Linked DNA regions of Diceros bicornis minor. Each later gene encodes a partner of the first gene's protein in a complex. Links are inferred from orthologs where the notes say so. Each region holds a gene or a part of one and is shown in the gene's direction. Other genes may lie near its edges.

Evidence for each region.
Region 2: EIF3G (region 1) and EIF3M share a complex: the UniProt entries of both Homo sapiens proteins name them as parts of the eukaryotic translation initiation factor 3 (eIF-3) complex. The link is inferred for Diceros bicornis minor from reciprocal best matches to the Homo sapiens genes EIF3G and EIF3M.

What each region holds. Positions count from the first base shown.
Region 1 is NC_080769.1:9,003,871-9,011,596, forward strand, and holds the start of EIF3G (eukaryotic translation initiation factor 3 subunit G), read left to right. Parts: upstream 1-4,435; 5' UTR 4,436-4,489; coding exon 4,490-4,509; intron 4,510-4,645; coding exon 4,646-4,692; intron 4,693-5,167; coding exon 5,168-5,251; intron 5,252-5,364; coding exon 5,365-5,453; intron 5,454-5,580; coding exon 5,581-5,640; intron 5,641-6,626; coding exon 6,627-6,731; intron 6,732-6,821; coding exon 6,822-7,011; intron 7,012-7,454; coding exon 7,455-7,562; intron 7,563-7,649; coding exon 7,650-7,726. UniProt on the Homo sapiens protein: RNA-binding component of the eukaryotic translation initiation factor 3 (eIF-3) complex, which is required for several steps in the initiation of protein synthesis.
Region 2 is NC_080746.1:87,831,515-87,839,328, forward strand, and holds the start of EIF3M (eukaryotic translation initiation factor 3 subunit M), read left to right. Parts: upstream 1-4,600; 5' UTR 4,601-4,660; coding exon 4,661-4,702; intron 4,703-6,584; coding exon 6,585-6,717; intron 6,718-7,667; coding exon 7,668-7,806; intron 7,807-7,814. UniProt on the Homo sapiens protein: Component of the eukaryotic translation initiation factor 3 (eIF-3) complex, which is required for several steps in the initiation of protein synthesis.

The sequences.
Region 1 (7,726 bases):
CCCAGATCCCCGTCTGCTACTTCCCCAGACACAACCACTGCGAGAACATTGCTGTGTTTCCTTCCTGTCCCTGTCTTTCAGCTCTTACCACATCTGCGTGTCCATAAACTTAGTATTCTCGGCGTCTCTAGAAATATTAGGTAAATGCTATTCTGTACGTATCTGTCCACAGCCCGCTTTTCTCTCTCAACCGTGTCTGGAGTTTTTAAAGAAAGGTCAGCCATAGAAAAAATATAGTGAATCCTACAACCACCAACATAACGGTTGGCACTTTTTTCCACTTCTTGTGTCATGAGGAAGCCTCTCTGAGCCCCCGTCATCCCCACAGTGACCATTATGACGCACGTGTGTCCTGTGCCCATCGGCTTTGTCCACACTCGCACGCAGCCATCCGTGACTAGCAATTGACAACTTACGTCGACAGCATGCAACGATGGAGCGCCGACCATCCCAGGCTCTGTTCTGGGGCTGGGCGTGTAGCGAGGACAGAGTGACACCGTCCCTCGCTGCCTCGAGGACAAAGCAGGCAGACAACAACACAAGTGAACGAGGGAATTTTAAAGAGCTAGAAATGCATCAAATAATCAAAATAAAACAGCAAATTGGGATGAAGTGACTCTGAACCTTGCTTTGTGCGTCTCCAGATCGTATTATTAGTGCCCAGATCTTAGACGTGTAGCTGGATTATTTTTTACATGTGTATTTGCCTGTGTCATCAGCCACCTAGATCAAGATGTAGGAAATTCCCATCACCCTGGAAGGATGCCTGGCGCCCCTCCCAAACCAGTCCCTTCCCCATCCCCAAGAGGTGATCACAGTTCTGATTCCCATTACTATAGATTGGTTTTGCGTGTTTGAGAATTTCACACAAATGGAATCATACAGTGTCTATTCTGTTGTGTCTGTGACATGCATCTGTGTCATTGCATGTATTAGTCACTTGCTCCTCTTCATTGCTGTATAGTACTCCACTGTAGAGGTGAACCACAGTTCATCTTTGGTTATCCATTCATCTGTTGACGGACTTTTGTGTTGTGTTATGGGCTGAATTGTGTCCCCCTAAAATCCATATGTTGAAGCTCTAACTTCCCAGTACCCCAGAATGTGAGTGTATTTGGAGATGAGGCCTTCAAAGGATTGAGTTAAAATGAGGTCACTAGAGTGGGCCTAGTCCAATATGACTGGTGTCCTAATAAGGACCATGTGAAGACACAGGGAGAAGACGGCCATCAACAAGCCAAGGAGAGAGGCCTCAGAAGGAACCAACCCGGCTGACACCTTGATCTCGGACTTCCACCCTCCAGAACTGGGAGAAAAGAAATGTCTGTTGTTTAAGCCCCCCGGTCTGTGATACTTAATTAGGCAGCCCCAGCCAACTAATTCAAGTTGTTTCAGATTTGGGGCCATTGTGAATAAAGCTGCCATGAACATTCGTGTATGTATTGTAAGGCGTGGCTTCTTGTGGACACGTGTTTCCGTTTCTTACGGAAACTACCAAGAAGTGGAATTCCACGTTGTGTGATCTAGAGAATCTTCCTGAAGCTGCGGCAGAATTTCCAGTGGACGGCACACCGTGCGTGACCTCACTCCTCCTCATGTGCTTTGCAGGGTTGGTTTTGCCCTCGTCCTGGCTGCTGTCCTGTGGAGATTCTGGATGTGGAAAGAATGTAGGAGCCACAAAGAAAGACTAGAAGAGGGACTCGAGAACTTTCTTTCCATTCACCCTTGGATTCAGGCTTCTCCCCTCTGCCCTATGCTCCCTCAGGGCCTCTTTTATTTTTCTTTAGGGAGTACCTGACTTTTTGTAAAACCAATACACACTCCATGTTTAAGAAAAAAAGTATTCCATACAGAAAAATACCGAAAGGAAGTCAAGATGAGGCCAAATCGAAACACCCAGAAGCATCGATGTTTAGTGGTTAACGTCTTTCTGGGCAGCTCTGTGGCTCCACAAAAGCGCACAGTTTCTCTCCTGGGGTGGTGCTTCTACAAATGAGGCAACGTTTAGCTAATCCCTCACTCATGATGATTGCGCTGTTTTCAATTTTCCAATGCTTTAAGCCACACCGCGCAGACACTTTGTTACTGACAAGTTAGTGCGCTTGGATGTGTATTTCCTTCGGCCAGTCCTAGGCGAGGGAATGCAAGTTAGTATATATGCAAAATATATTAAAATACATTTATATGTTACAGCTCACATACATTACACAAACACATACTATATATTAATATCTACAGAATTTTCGATTTATGTGTATATTTACATTTAAGCCAAAATAACATAGACACATGGTAAAGAATTTTAAATACAGCAGGAAAGTCCAAAAATGAGCTTTCCTCTTCTGACGCCTTCCTCTCAAAGCATACTTCAGCACCAGTTTGATATTTCTTTTCAGAAAATAGCTTGCATATATCTACGTATCTAGGTGCTATTAAAGACTTACTTTTTTTTGTTGTTGTTGAGGAAGATTGGCCCTGAACTAACATCTGTTGCCAATCTTCCTCTTTTTGCTGAGGAAGATTGTCCCTGAGCTAACATCCGTACCCATCTTCCTCTATTTTGTATGTGGGTCGCCGCAGCAACATGGCTCGATGAGTGGTGTGTAGGTCTGCAGCCAGGATCCCAACCTGCAAACCCCAGGTGCCAAAGCAGAGCGTGTGAACTTAACCCCTATGCCAGTGGGCCAGCCCCCACGAATTGGTTTCTATAACATATGCGATTTTGCATCTTGCTTCTTCTTAGAGATTTTTTTGGGGGGCTTAAGCAACAGACATTTATTTCTCACAGTTCTGGAGTTGGAGATTTTTTTTTTTAAGATTTTATTTATTTTTATTTTTTCCCCCCAAAGCCCCAGCAGATAGTTGTATGTCATAGTCACACATCCTTCCAGCTGCTGCATGTGGGACGCGGCCTCAGCATGGCCGGAGAAGCGGCGCGTCGGTGCGCGCCCGGGATCCGAACCTGGGCCGCCAGCAGCGGAGCGCGCGCACCCAACCGCTAAGCCATGGGGCCGGCCCTGGAGATTTTTTTAACACGAGCACAAATCGATCTATTTCTTTAAAGACTGCATGGCATTTCATAGATTACATCACAGCATACCTTAATCTGTTTAACCAGCCTGATGGATGGGCAGATAGGCATTTCCAATTTTTGCTATCACGAACAATACTGCACGAATATCTTATTCTCACGCATTTGACCACATTTACGAGTTTTTCTCATCATCTTAGCTGGCTCAAAGGAAAATACATACATGTATTTTAAGTCTTAGGAGATGTCAATTTTCCGTCCAAAGAGCTGGCATAGTTTCATGCACTAACAAAGTGTGCGTCTGTTTCTCTACATTTTTGCTGCTGTTGGGTGATATCCAATTTTTAAAGTTTTTCCCATCTGCTACGTTGTTTGAATTTTGCGTTTCTTGGAGTAAATTTGAGTAAGTTTGCACAAAAGTTTACTGGCCCTTTTTACACACTATATTTTCATCTTTATTGCTAGATCACCCTCTTTCTTCCACTCACTTCCCCATCCTGCTTCCTGGTATAGAGGATAAAGAGCCTAAACTCTTTAGTCTGGCTTAAAAATCCTTTATGATCTGGTTCCCACCCTACCCCAAATGCCCATTAATTGAGCACTTACTGTATACAGACACTCTGTGGGTGCTGGGGACCCAGGAATCAACAAGGCAGGCAAACGTCTGCTTTCTGCAGCTGACATTCTAGAGCAGTGTTTCTCAACCTTTTTTCCCCCCCCCTTATCGCCCCTCTAAGAAGAAAACTGGAATTATCTTTAAATTTAATTTAAATCAATTAATTTCAATTTAATTACATTTAATTTCTCCCTAACGAGAAAAATTAAATACTTAGGTATAAGATTTTATCCGATAGGGCTGGCTTTGGAGGGCCACAAGCTATTGTAATGTCTAAGGTTCTTTTTTGCCCCTCAAGAATTAATTGTGGCGCCCTTGGGAGCCATATTGCTCCCATTGAGAACGCAAGCTTTAGAGGGGTAGCTGCTGGACAGTAAACAAATAAATGGAAAAGATTAAATCAGGGGCCCGAGACTGTTATAAAGAAAAGCAGGAAGAATGTTGGAGGGGGCCGTTTGACATCTTGATCGTCTGAATCAAGAACGCTCTTCCCAGACAAGGAAGACCAGCCTTGGTTTCTTCAGCTGCCAAATGGAAATGATAATTTCCTCCTCACGGTGCCTGGCATACGGCAAGCCCTCAATAAATGAACTTTACTGTAATTATTAATTAAAAAAATATTTTTAAATGTAAACGGAACAAGCGCTGAGATGCGCCTCTGCTCTGCTACCGGCTTGGGTCCGGCGCCCAGCGGCGCGCACAGCCGGCGCCTCCACCTCCGTCCGGAGGGGGCGCTGTGGGCGCCGCGGCCGGGCTGCTCTAGGCGGCGGCACCGGAAGTCTCGTTCTCCCCTCACTTCCGGTCTCTGGCCCGGGCTTGGGCTGCGTGGAGCAGGGTTTGCAATGCCGACCGGAGACTTTGAGTGAGTCGGGGGTGGTGGCGGGGGTCCCGGGAGGCGGTTTGGGGGTTCCGGGGAGTCTTGTGGAGCCTGGGTGCCCCGAGGCCGCGGGAGCCGGGCTTCGCTGACCCGCCTTCCCCCCGCGAACTTGTCCCCGCAGTTCGAAGCCCAGCTGGGCCGACCAGGTGGAGGAGGAGGGAGAGGACGGTGAGTACGGCCGGTCGCCCCGGCTCACCGCAGCCAGCGCCCCGCCCGGTCACTGCCACCTGCTCCGGCCCCCGGCCCTGGCACCGCCAGCCCCTGCCCCGCGCCATCCTCCTGGACGGCCTGTCGCCAATTCCAGAGGCTCACTGGCCGGCCCCTCCTCCTCCCGTGCCACCCCAAGCCCTCACAGCTGCCCGTCTGCTCGGGGGAAGAAGCTGTCACAACCTGCCGCCTGCCTTCGTACCAGCGCCCGGATGCCTTTATGGGCTGCCCCCGCCTTCCTGCCGCCCCCATCCTTACCATTGCTGGAGGTCACTACAGCCAGCTCCCTGTCCCCGCACGGCTGTCCCCGGGCACTTCTTGGCTCTTGGGCCCCCCCTTCCTCAGCTCCCAGTGTGAGCATCATCCCCAAAGTCCATCCGTTTCAGCTTGGCACACCCCGCCCCCCTGCTGACCTCCCCCCCACTGCCTCTCACAGACAAATGTGTCACCAGCGAGCTCCTCAAGGGGATCCCTCTGGCCACCGGCGACACCAGCCCGGAGCCTGAGCTACTGCCAGGAGGTGAGTGACGGGCGACCTCCACTCCATCCTGGGCTGCCTGTCTCCCCAGCCGCATTCCCGCCTGGTCCCCATCACCCAGGACTCAGTTCCCCGCCCCTCTTCCCCTCTCCCAGCTCCACTGCCGCCTCCCAAGGAGGTCATCAACGGAAACATCAAGACAGTGACCGAGTACAAGATCGATGAGGACGGCAAGAAGTTCAAGGTGAGGCTGGGGGTTCAAGGTTGTGCTTGGGGGCGCTTGGGCCACGAGCGGGTGGTGTGTGGAGCAAGATTGCCTGCCCCAGGAGCCTTGAGACGCAGGAAGCCGACCCTCTCCCTCCCATCCACAGATCGTCCGCACCTTCAGAATTGAGACCCGGAAGGCCTCAAAGGCTGTGGCAAGGAGGAAGGTGAGACTCTGCTCCCCTTGTCCTGGGGGCTACCCCAGGACTGACTCAGGAATTAGGACTCCTTTTCCTAGTGCCTTTATTTCTAAAGATTTTATTTATTTATTTTTCTCCCAAAGCCCCAGTAGATAGTTGTCTGTCATAGCTGCACATCCTTCTAGTTGCTGTATGTGGGACGCGGCCTCAGCATGGCCGGAGAAGCGGTGCGTCGGTGCGTGCCCGGGATCCGAACCTGGGCCGCCAGCAGCGGAGCGTGCGCACTTAACCGCTAAGCCACGGGGCCGGCCCGCTAGTGCCTTTATTTCTAGAAATGAGGTTTAATTGTTTGTACCTATTTTGTTGGAGCAGAACTGAGGCCTAGGGGTGTTTCATTCTCTGGGTGCCCCGAACAGTCCAGGGCGCAGGAGTGGGCAGGGTTGATTCTGCCTCCTCTTGGCTTGTCTGCCAGGAGGAACAGAGCCAAGCCCTCCCCTAAGGTGGTCAGACCAGAAGCCATAGCAGTAAAAACCTCTGGCACGATTGTTTGCATACTTTCTCCGTGCCAGACCCAGATGCTTTGCATTCACTGTTTTCTCATTCAGTCCTCATGGCAACCCAGGGAGGTGTGGCGCATTGTGGTCCCCTTTTTGTAGGGAAGGAAGCTGAGGTTCAGGCCCCTTGAAGTCTGGGGGACCCCTGTACACCCCTGAGCATCGCTCCCTAGTGGGAGCTGGCCCACCACCTGCTCGGCCCCCCAGGAATTGTTGTCTGTGAAGCTGTTTCCCCCTGCGCCTCGGTTCTCTCTGGAGCTTGGGGCTGAGGGCTGCCTTGCACTGCCCCGCTAGGGCCTCACATGCACTCAGGAAATGGGAATTGTCATCGTCACCCTTGTGGGAGGGATATGGGGCCCAGACATCCCAAAAGGGGCTATAGCAGGTCTGAGGAGCCAGTGGGTGGGGGCCCCCACCTGCCCTGGCCCTGACCTGTCCCCTCTCCTGCCCTGAGCCCAGAACTGGAAGAAGTTCGGAAACTCCGAGTTTGACCCCCCGGGGCCCAATGTGGCCACCACCACGGTGAGCGACGATGTGTCCATGACGTTCATCACCAGCAAAGAGGTGAGTGGGGCAACGGCGGGGCCGGCGGCCTGGGAGGTGGTGGCGGCAGGGTGCGGCAGCCCCCTCTGAGCTGCGCCCCCCACCCCGCAGGACCTGAACTGCCAGGAGGAGGAGGACCCGATGAACAAGCTCAAGGGCCAGAAGATTGTGTCCTGCCGCATCTGCAAGGGCGACCACTGGACCACCCGCTGCCCCTACAAGGACACGCTGGGGCCCATGCAGAAGGAGCTGGCCGAGCAGCTGGGCCTGTCCACGGGCGAGAAGGAGAAGCTGCCCGGAGGTGCGGGCTGGCGCACCGCGTGTGTCGGGGGTGTACGTGGGTGTGTGCATGCACACCTGTGAGCAGACACACACGGGTCTGCCTGGAGTCTCCTTGAGCGGGGTTTGCCGATGGCGAGCTCGAGTCTGGACGGCTGTGCACCCACAACTCGTGTGTGTGGGACTCAGGGACTGTCTGTGTCCTGTGTGCCTCTGTTCCTGTGTGTCGTGAGGCTGGGCATTACTCTAGTTGTCAACCCCTGTGGGTTCTCACTCTGTGCTGCTGGCTTCCTGGATGCGACCTTTATGTCATCGTGGCCACCGGGCTCGGACGAACCGGATGCCTGTGGCTTGACAGACAGCGCGGGGCTGGGTCGGGGCTGGAGCCGCTGGCACCCTGGGGCAGGTCTGTCCCGCCGTCTGCGCCAGGGTGAGGCCTGAGCCGCCTGTGCTCTTTGTCTGCAGAGCTGGAGCCCGTGCAGGCCACCCAGAACAAGACAGGGAAGTACGTGCCACCGAGCCTGCGGGACGGGGCCAGCCGCCGCGGGGAGTCCATGCAGCCCAACCGCAGAGGTGAGGCGGTGAGGGCACCTCCCAGCACCCTGTGATTAGCCCGTGGGTGGGGCCCGCCCCTCACAGCCGCCTCTCCCTGCCATCTAGCCGATGACAACGCTACCATCCGTGTCACCAATCTGTCGGAGGACACGCGGGAAACCGACCTGCAGGAGCTCTTCCGG
Region 2 (7,814 bases), on another chromosome or scaffold:
ACACTTTTTTCTTTAACAAAAATAAAACTAAGATTTTTTAAATTCATTTAAAAATCAGTTTGGTCTCAGATATCATTTTAAATGAATATAAAGCATAGGAATATAGAATATTCACCTTTTCCCATGAAGTTGGTCCCTATAGCTCACTTGGGAGTGGTTCTCCTATCCAGTAGCTATTAGGAATGGAAACCAATGTCCTGTGTTTAGAAAATCAGGAGAAAAGTTAAAAAAAAGGGATTTCAAGCTGGGACACATAAGCATTCCTATCCCCATTCAAGATGTATCCTTTAATTTTGTTCTTTCTGGTATCCAAGTGCCTGAACAGTATCTGACACATAATAAAGATGAATATATATGTAAGAATAAACGAAAGTTTAAAGTTTCAAATAATTTTGCCCATATCCTTTCACTATCTCCTTTTCAAGAACTTCCCTTGAAAGGATGTTTTTTTACTTCACAAAGACCACAGAATGAAGAAAAATAGCAAAAAGTATAAGACTTGGGAATGTTTGATGAAAGAGTACGTGTATCTTTTAGTTTGTATTCCTAGAACTCTGGGAGGAGCTCAGAGATTACTCCTTTAGAACCAGCAGACATCCACAGACACCTACTGAGTGCCTGCAGGGGTGCTGCACACTGAGGTGGGTGGAGGGAACACAGTGAGACCTGACACACAAGTTCCCTGCCTGCAGGCTCAGTCTCTACATCATCAAGGGTATCCATGCAGGAATGAATCCTTTCAAGTTTAGTCTATTCAGATGTTTTCTATCCTGCCCACTTTTTTTTTTTCTTTGCCTCCCATTTGTTTATCTTGAGGCATAATCATGATATCAATAAACTGCACATTTTCAAGTGCACAACTTGCTAAATCTTATATATGTACACTACCATGACACAATCACAACCAAGATAATGAACATATCCATAACCCCCAAAGCTTCCTCATGCCCCTTTGTAACTCATCTCTCCCTCCTCCTTGCCTAGTCCCTCTCACACAGGCAACAACAATCTACAGTGCTGCCACTTTAGTTTGTATTTTCTAGAGTTCCATATAAATGGAATCATACAGTATGTTTGGCTTCTTTCACGCAGCAAAATTATTTTGACGTTCATCCATACTGTTGCATGTATCAGTAGTTCATCTTTTTTTATTGCAGAGTAGTATTCCATTACATAGATATGTAACAATTTGTTTATCCATTCACCTGTTGAGGAACATTTGGGTTGTTTCCTGTTTTTGGCTATTAAAAATAAAGCTGCTGTCTTTTTGGAAAATAGCTCCTCAAAAAGCTAAACATAAAGTTACCACATAACCTAGCAATTCCACCCCTAATTATATACCCAAGAGAATTATAAATATACATCCATACAAAATCTTGTGTGTGAATGTTCATAGAAGCATTAGTCATAATAGCCAAAAAATGGAAACAAGCCAAACGTGCATCCACTGATGAATGGGCAAACAAAAGGTGGTATATTCATAACAATGGAATATTATTAAGCAATAAAAATGAAGGACTGATACATGCCACAACCTTGAAAATATTATGCTAAATATAGAAGCCAGGCACCGAAGGCCACGTATTGTATGATTGCATTTATATGAACTGTCCAAAATAGACAAATTCATAGACAGAAAGTAGTGGTTGCTAAGGATTGAGGGAGTGAGGAATGGAGAGTGCTTGCTAATGAGTACAGTTTCTTTTAGGGTGATGAAAATATTCTAAAATTACATAGGGGTGATGGTTGCACAATTCTGTAACTATACTAAAAACTACTGAATTGTATAATTTAAAAGTGTGAATTTTATGATATTGGAATTATATTTCAATAAAGCTGTTATTTTTTCACCTTTATTGAGGTATAACTGACCAACAAAATTGTAAGTTATTTAAAGCGTACAATGTGATGATTTGACATACGTATACATTGTGAAAGGATTCTCCCAACGTTAATTAACACACCCATCACCTATTTACTTTTTTTTTTCTTTTTGGTGAGAACATTTAAGTACTACTCTCTTAGCAAATTTCAAAAGTTGCAATGAACATTCATGTACAAGTCTTTGTATGGACACACCCTCTCATTTCTCTTGGGTAAAGATTTAGGGGTAGAATATCTGGGTCATAGGGTAGGTGGATGTTCGACTTTTTAAGAAACTGCCCCTCTTTTGCAAAGTGGTTGTGCCATTTCACATTTGTAGCAGCAGTATACGAGCATTCTGGATCCCACACATGCCTGCCAACACTTGGTATGGTCAGTCCTTTAATTTTAGATATTCTAGTAAGTACATAGTGGTATCTCATTGTAGTTTTAATTCTCATCTCCCTAATGACTAATACTGTTGGTATTTTTACTTGTGCTTATCAGATATCTGTATGTATTGTTTGATGCCACCTGTTCAAATTTTTTGCCCACTTTTTAATTGGATTGGTTGTTATTGAGTTTTATACATTCATACACTCTCGATACAAGTCATTATCAGACGTGTTGTTTGCCAATATTTCCTCCCAGTCTGTGGCTTGTCTTTTCATTCTCGTAGCAGTGTCTTTCAGAGAGCCGAAGTTCTTAATTTTGATGTAGTCCAGTTTACCACTTTTTTTCATTCAGGGATCATGCCTTCAGAGATGTATCTAAAAATATCTTTGCCTAACCTAAGGTCACAAAAACTTTCTTCCATGTTTTCTCCTAGAAGTTTAATAGTTTTATATTTTACATTTAGGTCTAAGATCCATTTTAAGTGCATTTTTCCATTTAGTATAAGGTATGGATTCAATTTCATTTTTCTCAAATATGGATATAGAATTGTTCCAGCACCATTTGTTGAGAAGACTAAATTGCCTTTGCATCTTAGTCAAAAATCAATTGACATGTGCGAGTCTACTTCTGAGCTCTCCATTCTCTTCCTTTGATTGATTTGTCTATCTTGATGTCAATCCCACACTGTCTTGATTACCATTACCATTTTGCACGCCGATCCTCCTCCTTTTGCTGAGGAAGATTGGCCCTGGGCTAACATCCGTGCCCATCTTCCTCCACTTTATGTGGGACACCACCACAGCATGGCTTGACAAGCAGTGCATCGGTCTGTGCCGGGATCCGAACCTGCAAACCCAAAGCGGAGCATGTGAACTTAACCACTACGCCACTGGGCTGGCCCCCTACCAGCAATTTATTAGAGTTCCAGTTGCTCTACATCCTTATTATTGTATTGTCAGGTTTTTAAAAATTAGCTTTCATAGTAACTGTGTAGCAGTATCTCACTATGTTTGTAATTTGCATTAAAATTGGGTTGTTCTTTTTCCTACTATTGAATTTCCCATCATTTTTTTTTAAAACTTACTTTGCCCTAATTTCCTAAACAATAATCATCTCAGGGTGTATCAAGGCCTGCTTGTCTGTTTTCTCCCGCCTTTAAATAAGAGGCAAGCTTGCAACTGCTGCAGGTGATAGTCTGCCCCAGAAAATTGGAAGACGTTGGCTGGAATTCAGGCCAAACCTTTGGAGTCACCTTGAGTTCCTTTTTCCCTCATACCCCGTATATGATCTGTCAGTAAATCTTATCAGTTTACCAACCAGCTTCTCACCACCCCTCACTGTCTTCTCTTGCTCGGCCTCTGCAATCGCTTTCTAAAGAGTCTCCCTGCTTTGGCCCTTGCCCAACTCACACCAATTTGCAACACAGCTGCCAGAGTGACCCTGCACAGAAACAGTTCCATGTCCTCCTCCTTCCGCTCCAGACCTGTCACGGGCTCGCCAACTCACCAGCCAAAGCCCCAACTCCGACCACGGCTCTCTCCCCTCCGTCCTGCCCTCCCCTCGGCCGAGTCCGCCCCGGCCCCTCCTCCTCACGCCCCTTCCTCGCCTCTCCCGCACGAAGCTCTCCTGCAGGCCTCTTCGCTAGCACCGCCCGCGCCCGCTCCGCTCCCCGCATCACCGGAGCCGTCTCTGCCCGCTCCAGGACCGGGCGTGCGCGCTCACACACACCCCTCCCGGGGTGCAGTCGGCGCTCGCCGCGTCCCGCCCGCTACACGTTAACCTCCGCGGGCCTCACCCTCGGGGAGGAACCGAGCCCGCCCCGCCGCGGACACCGTCGTCCGCGCTGCCCTCCGCGCCCCCGGGGACGCCGCGCTCCGCACCCCGGACGAGGCCGCGGATTCTCCTGAAAACCACGGTCCCCGCGCGGGACACTGCCTGCGGCGGGGACGGGGAGGCGGCCCGGCGGGAGCCACGCCCGAGGCGCTCGAGGGCGGCCTGAGCCCGCAGGTAGAGGGGCGTGGCCAGAGAGAACACCTGTTCCGAGCACCAGCGAGTCTCGTTGACCAAACGGGCCTAAAACGTCACGGGGGAGCGAGCCGCGGGCGGGCGGTAACGCTGACGACAGTCAGCCGCGCCGTTGCAGCGGTCAGAGGTCGCGGGCGGCGGCGCGGGAGGGCGAGAGAGGGGGCCAGAGCGCGCCCTGGGATTGGCCCCGTGCCCCAGCCCCGCCCCCAGTCGCGGCCAGAGCGCGCTGCGATTGGCCCGGGTGGCCCGCCGTCCCAGTGACCCCGCCCCTCAGGAGCTGCGCGGCGTGACCCGGAAGCGGTTGTGAGGCACCGCCCAGCTCCCTTTTCCGGTCGGCGTGGTGTGCTAGTGGACCGTCGTCGGGCCGGCCTTCGCCATGAGCGTCCCGGCCTTCATCGACATCAGTGAGGAGGACCAGGTGTGCGCCCGGCCGCGGGGCCCCGGGCGGGCTGGGCCTGGGGGGAGGGCGGCTCCAGGGCAGGGCGCGCGCTCGGGCCGCAGTTGTGTCCGCCCGGCGGCCCAGCGCTGATCCGAGGCCCGCGGCCGGTCCGGTCGGCGCCGGGCCCTTCCTGCCCGGGTCCCCGGCGGCTCGGGGGCGCGGGGTCTGCTCCCGGCCCTGCGGCCGCGGGCGGGCGGCGGAGAGGGTCGGAGGGCCGGTTTTGCCGGTCGCGGGCGCCGGCGGCTGGAGGCGGCCGGCCCGGCTCGCGGTTAAGGGCTCCGTCTGGGGCGGGGCGGGGCGGGGCGGCGCCCTGCGCGTCGCCCACGGGGGTCCGGCTGCGGCGGCCGAGACTGGGCGCGAGGTGCGCGCTCCGGTGATGTCGGGAGCAGGACGCTGTCACGTGGCTCCCGGCGCCGCGCCCTTGCTGCCCCTGCTGCCCCGCCGACGTGGGGTCTCGGGGGGCTTCCGAGAGGACCGCTGTTCGGGCCGCGGGTGTGGTTCGCTCCGTGGCGGGGCGGGGAAAAGGGGAGAGGGGAAGGAGGCGCGGCGGGCGTCGGGCGCGGGCGCGCGGGTGTGGACGCGCGAGCTCCTGCCCGGCTGCGGTGTCGGCGTGTCGTTCCGGGTGGCTGTGCTGCCGCCTGCCACTCGCCGTCCCTTTCGGGACGCAGGCGGTAGTCGCGCGGCTGAGCTTGGGCCGGGTGCTCTGTGACGAGGGTTACGGAATGGGGTGGAGGCTCCCTGTTTCTTTTCCTTCGCTTGTGCCCCGCCGCCGCCGCTGTGGCCGGAGAGGATGACAGCCAGGAACAGTAAACTTGACTGAGTAGTCTTAGAAGTTTGCTTTGTGTCCGCAGAGCAGAGACTGAAGAAATGTCTTGATTTTGGACCATGGTATGTTTCCTTCATAAAGAAGCGTGCTTTCCGTTGGTGTTTTTGTGGCCTCTGATATATCTTGTTTGTAATACTAGCTCATACGTGAAGTTAGTGTTGTTATCTGAAAAGGTAGCACCGTCTTATCTGCAGACTTCATATACTTTTCTTAGGTGGCCAAACATTTGTGGGTTTAGGAAATGTGATTCCTATGCATTTTCTAATGGTATCCTTAGCTCTCCCTGTTTCACTTCTTCATTTTATCATCTTAAATACCATTTGCATTCATGTTTGGCTGCCATACCTAGCTCTAAAGAGAACAAGGTATTAAACATTGTATGTGCATTACAGTAGAAACTGCCTAAATACCTGGACGCGGTGCTGTAGTTGTTTTTATAGGTCCAAAGATGCTTTCTGGTCCAGACATGCATTTTGCATTTTAAAAGATTAATTACATGGTAGGTCCAATTTGATATAAATATTTTCTTCAAGGCAACATTCAAAGGCATCATCTGTTTTATCTTTGTGTCATCCAGAATGCTTGTCTCAGGTAGGTTCTCTAACATGTAATTGACAAATGAACACCCTCTTGCCAAGGGAACGCCTCCAACTTTTTTAAGTAGCTGTGTTATGTACACTCGAGAGCAGTAACCCAGATCGAATTTACCAAGTCAGATCAACTCTGCTCCCCACCCCACCCCCAAAGGCTTTGGGTTATATTAGAAAGGTTTTTGCTGTGTACCGGAAGCCCAGCAGGGTATAGGTGATCCGTGTGGGTCATAGTGGGTCTTTGTAGCTTCTGGGTCTTGTAGAGGAAAACCTGTGGGGCTGTGATGATGCATGTGGTGGGGGAGAGGCACTTCCGCGTAGTTTCAAGTCATTGTTAAACACGGTATTTACATCTGTTTCTTCAGAAGTAGAGCAGAACGACTTGATCGTGTGTTTTGCCGTTGGTGGTTTTGTAGATACATAGTAACCTTATTTGAGTCAACAGGCTGCGGAGCTTCGAGCCTATCTGAAATCTAAAGGAGCTGAAGTTTCGGAAGAGAACTCTGAAGGTGGACTTCATGTAGATTTAGCTCAGATTATCGAAGCCTGTGATGTGTGTCTGAAGGAAGATGATAAAGGTTTGTTTTTAATTTTTTGTAATATTTCTTACTGATCATAAAGGACCTACTTTTTAAACTTTCTTGTGAATTATATTTGTTTTATACCTTAGAACTTATAAGCACTGTTGTTTTTAATCTTATTTTTGCACATACTTTCAGTTTATTCTAATCTGTTATACCTGTGAAGTAAGCCTATTTTGAGAAAACATCTTTTTTACATCAGGTATGTTTGTGTGTTGTTGCACACACTAAATACTGTTAATTTCAGAATGAACTAAAGGGAAAAAATGAAGCTTTTCTTTCCTTTTTAGAAGGTTTAGATTAGTATCAAATGGGATATAATCTAAAAGCTGTTTATTTGGCTGATTCTCTATTTATTGAGATAAAATGAAACGTTTTGAAAATTTGGAGTGCTGAAATCTCTAGTTAAGATTTGAGACTAAATTCGGCATATGATTAATATTTTAGACTCGAAAGTTAGTGACCCAACCAGAAAGTTGATAGCTTTTATATCTAAATAATTTTCTATTTGTACAAAGTTTTTTTCAGTTGGGAAAGCATCCTAGCCTAAGACCTAACCAATAACTTCCAAATGATTGAATATCTTGCTAGTAAAAATTGAAACTGTATATATAGACATGTAAATCATCCTTCAACTAGTTTTACTAGTTGAAAACCAAGTCTCAGGTAATAATTTCCTTCTTCTTTAATAAAGTGTACAAATTGCTTTCTGAACGTTAACTGTACAACAGACCTGGTTTAGTTTGAATTCATGTATGCTATATTTTTACTATAATGCACACCATTGAAGAAAAAGTGTCCTCTAGAACTGGTTCACAGTAGCCAAATTATATCTTTTTGAAGTGTTCATGTTTACTGGTCTTTGGTGTATTAAAACTGGAAATACATATTTAATTAGATACATTAAGTGTGATAGTATCACTGTTGTGTTATCCGTTCACGTGTAGATGTTGAAAGTGTGATGAACAGCGTGGTATCCCTCCTGTTGATCCTGGAACCAGATAAGCAAGAAGCTCTGATTGAAAGCCTGTGTGAAAAGCTGGTCAAATTTCGGGAAGGTGAACGCCCGTCTCTGAGACTGCAATTGTAAGTTA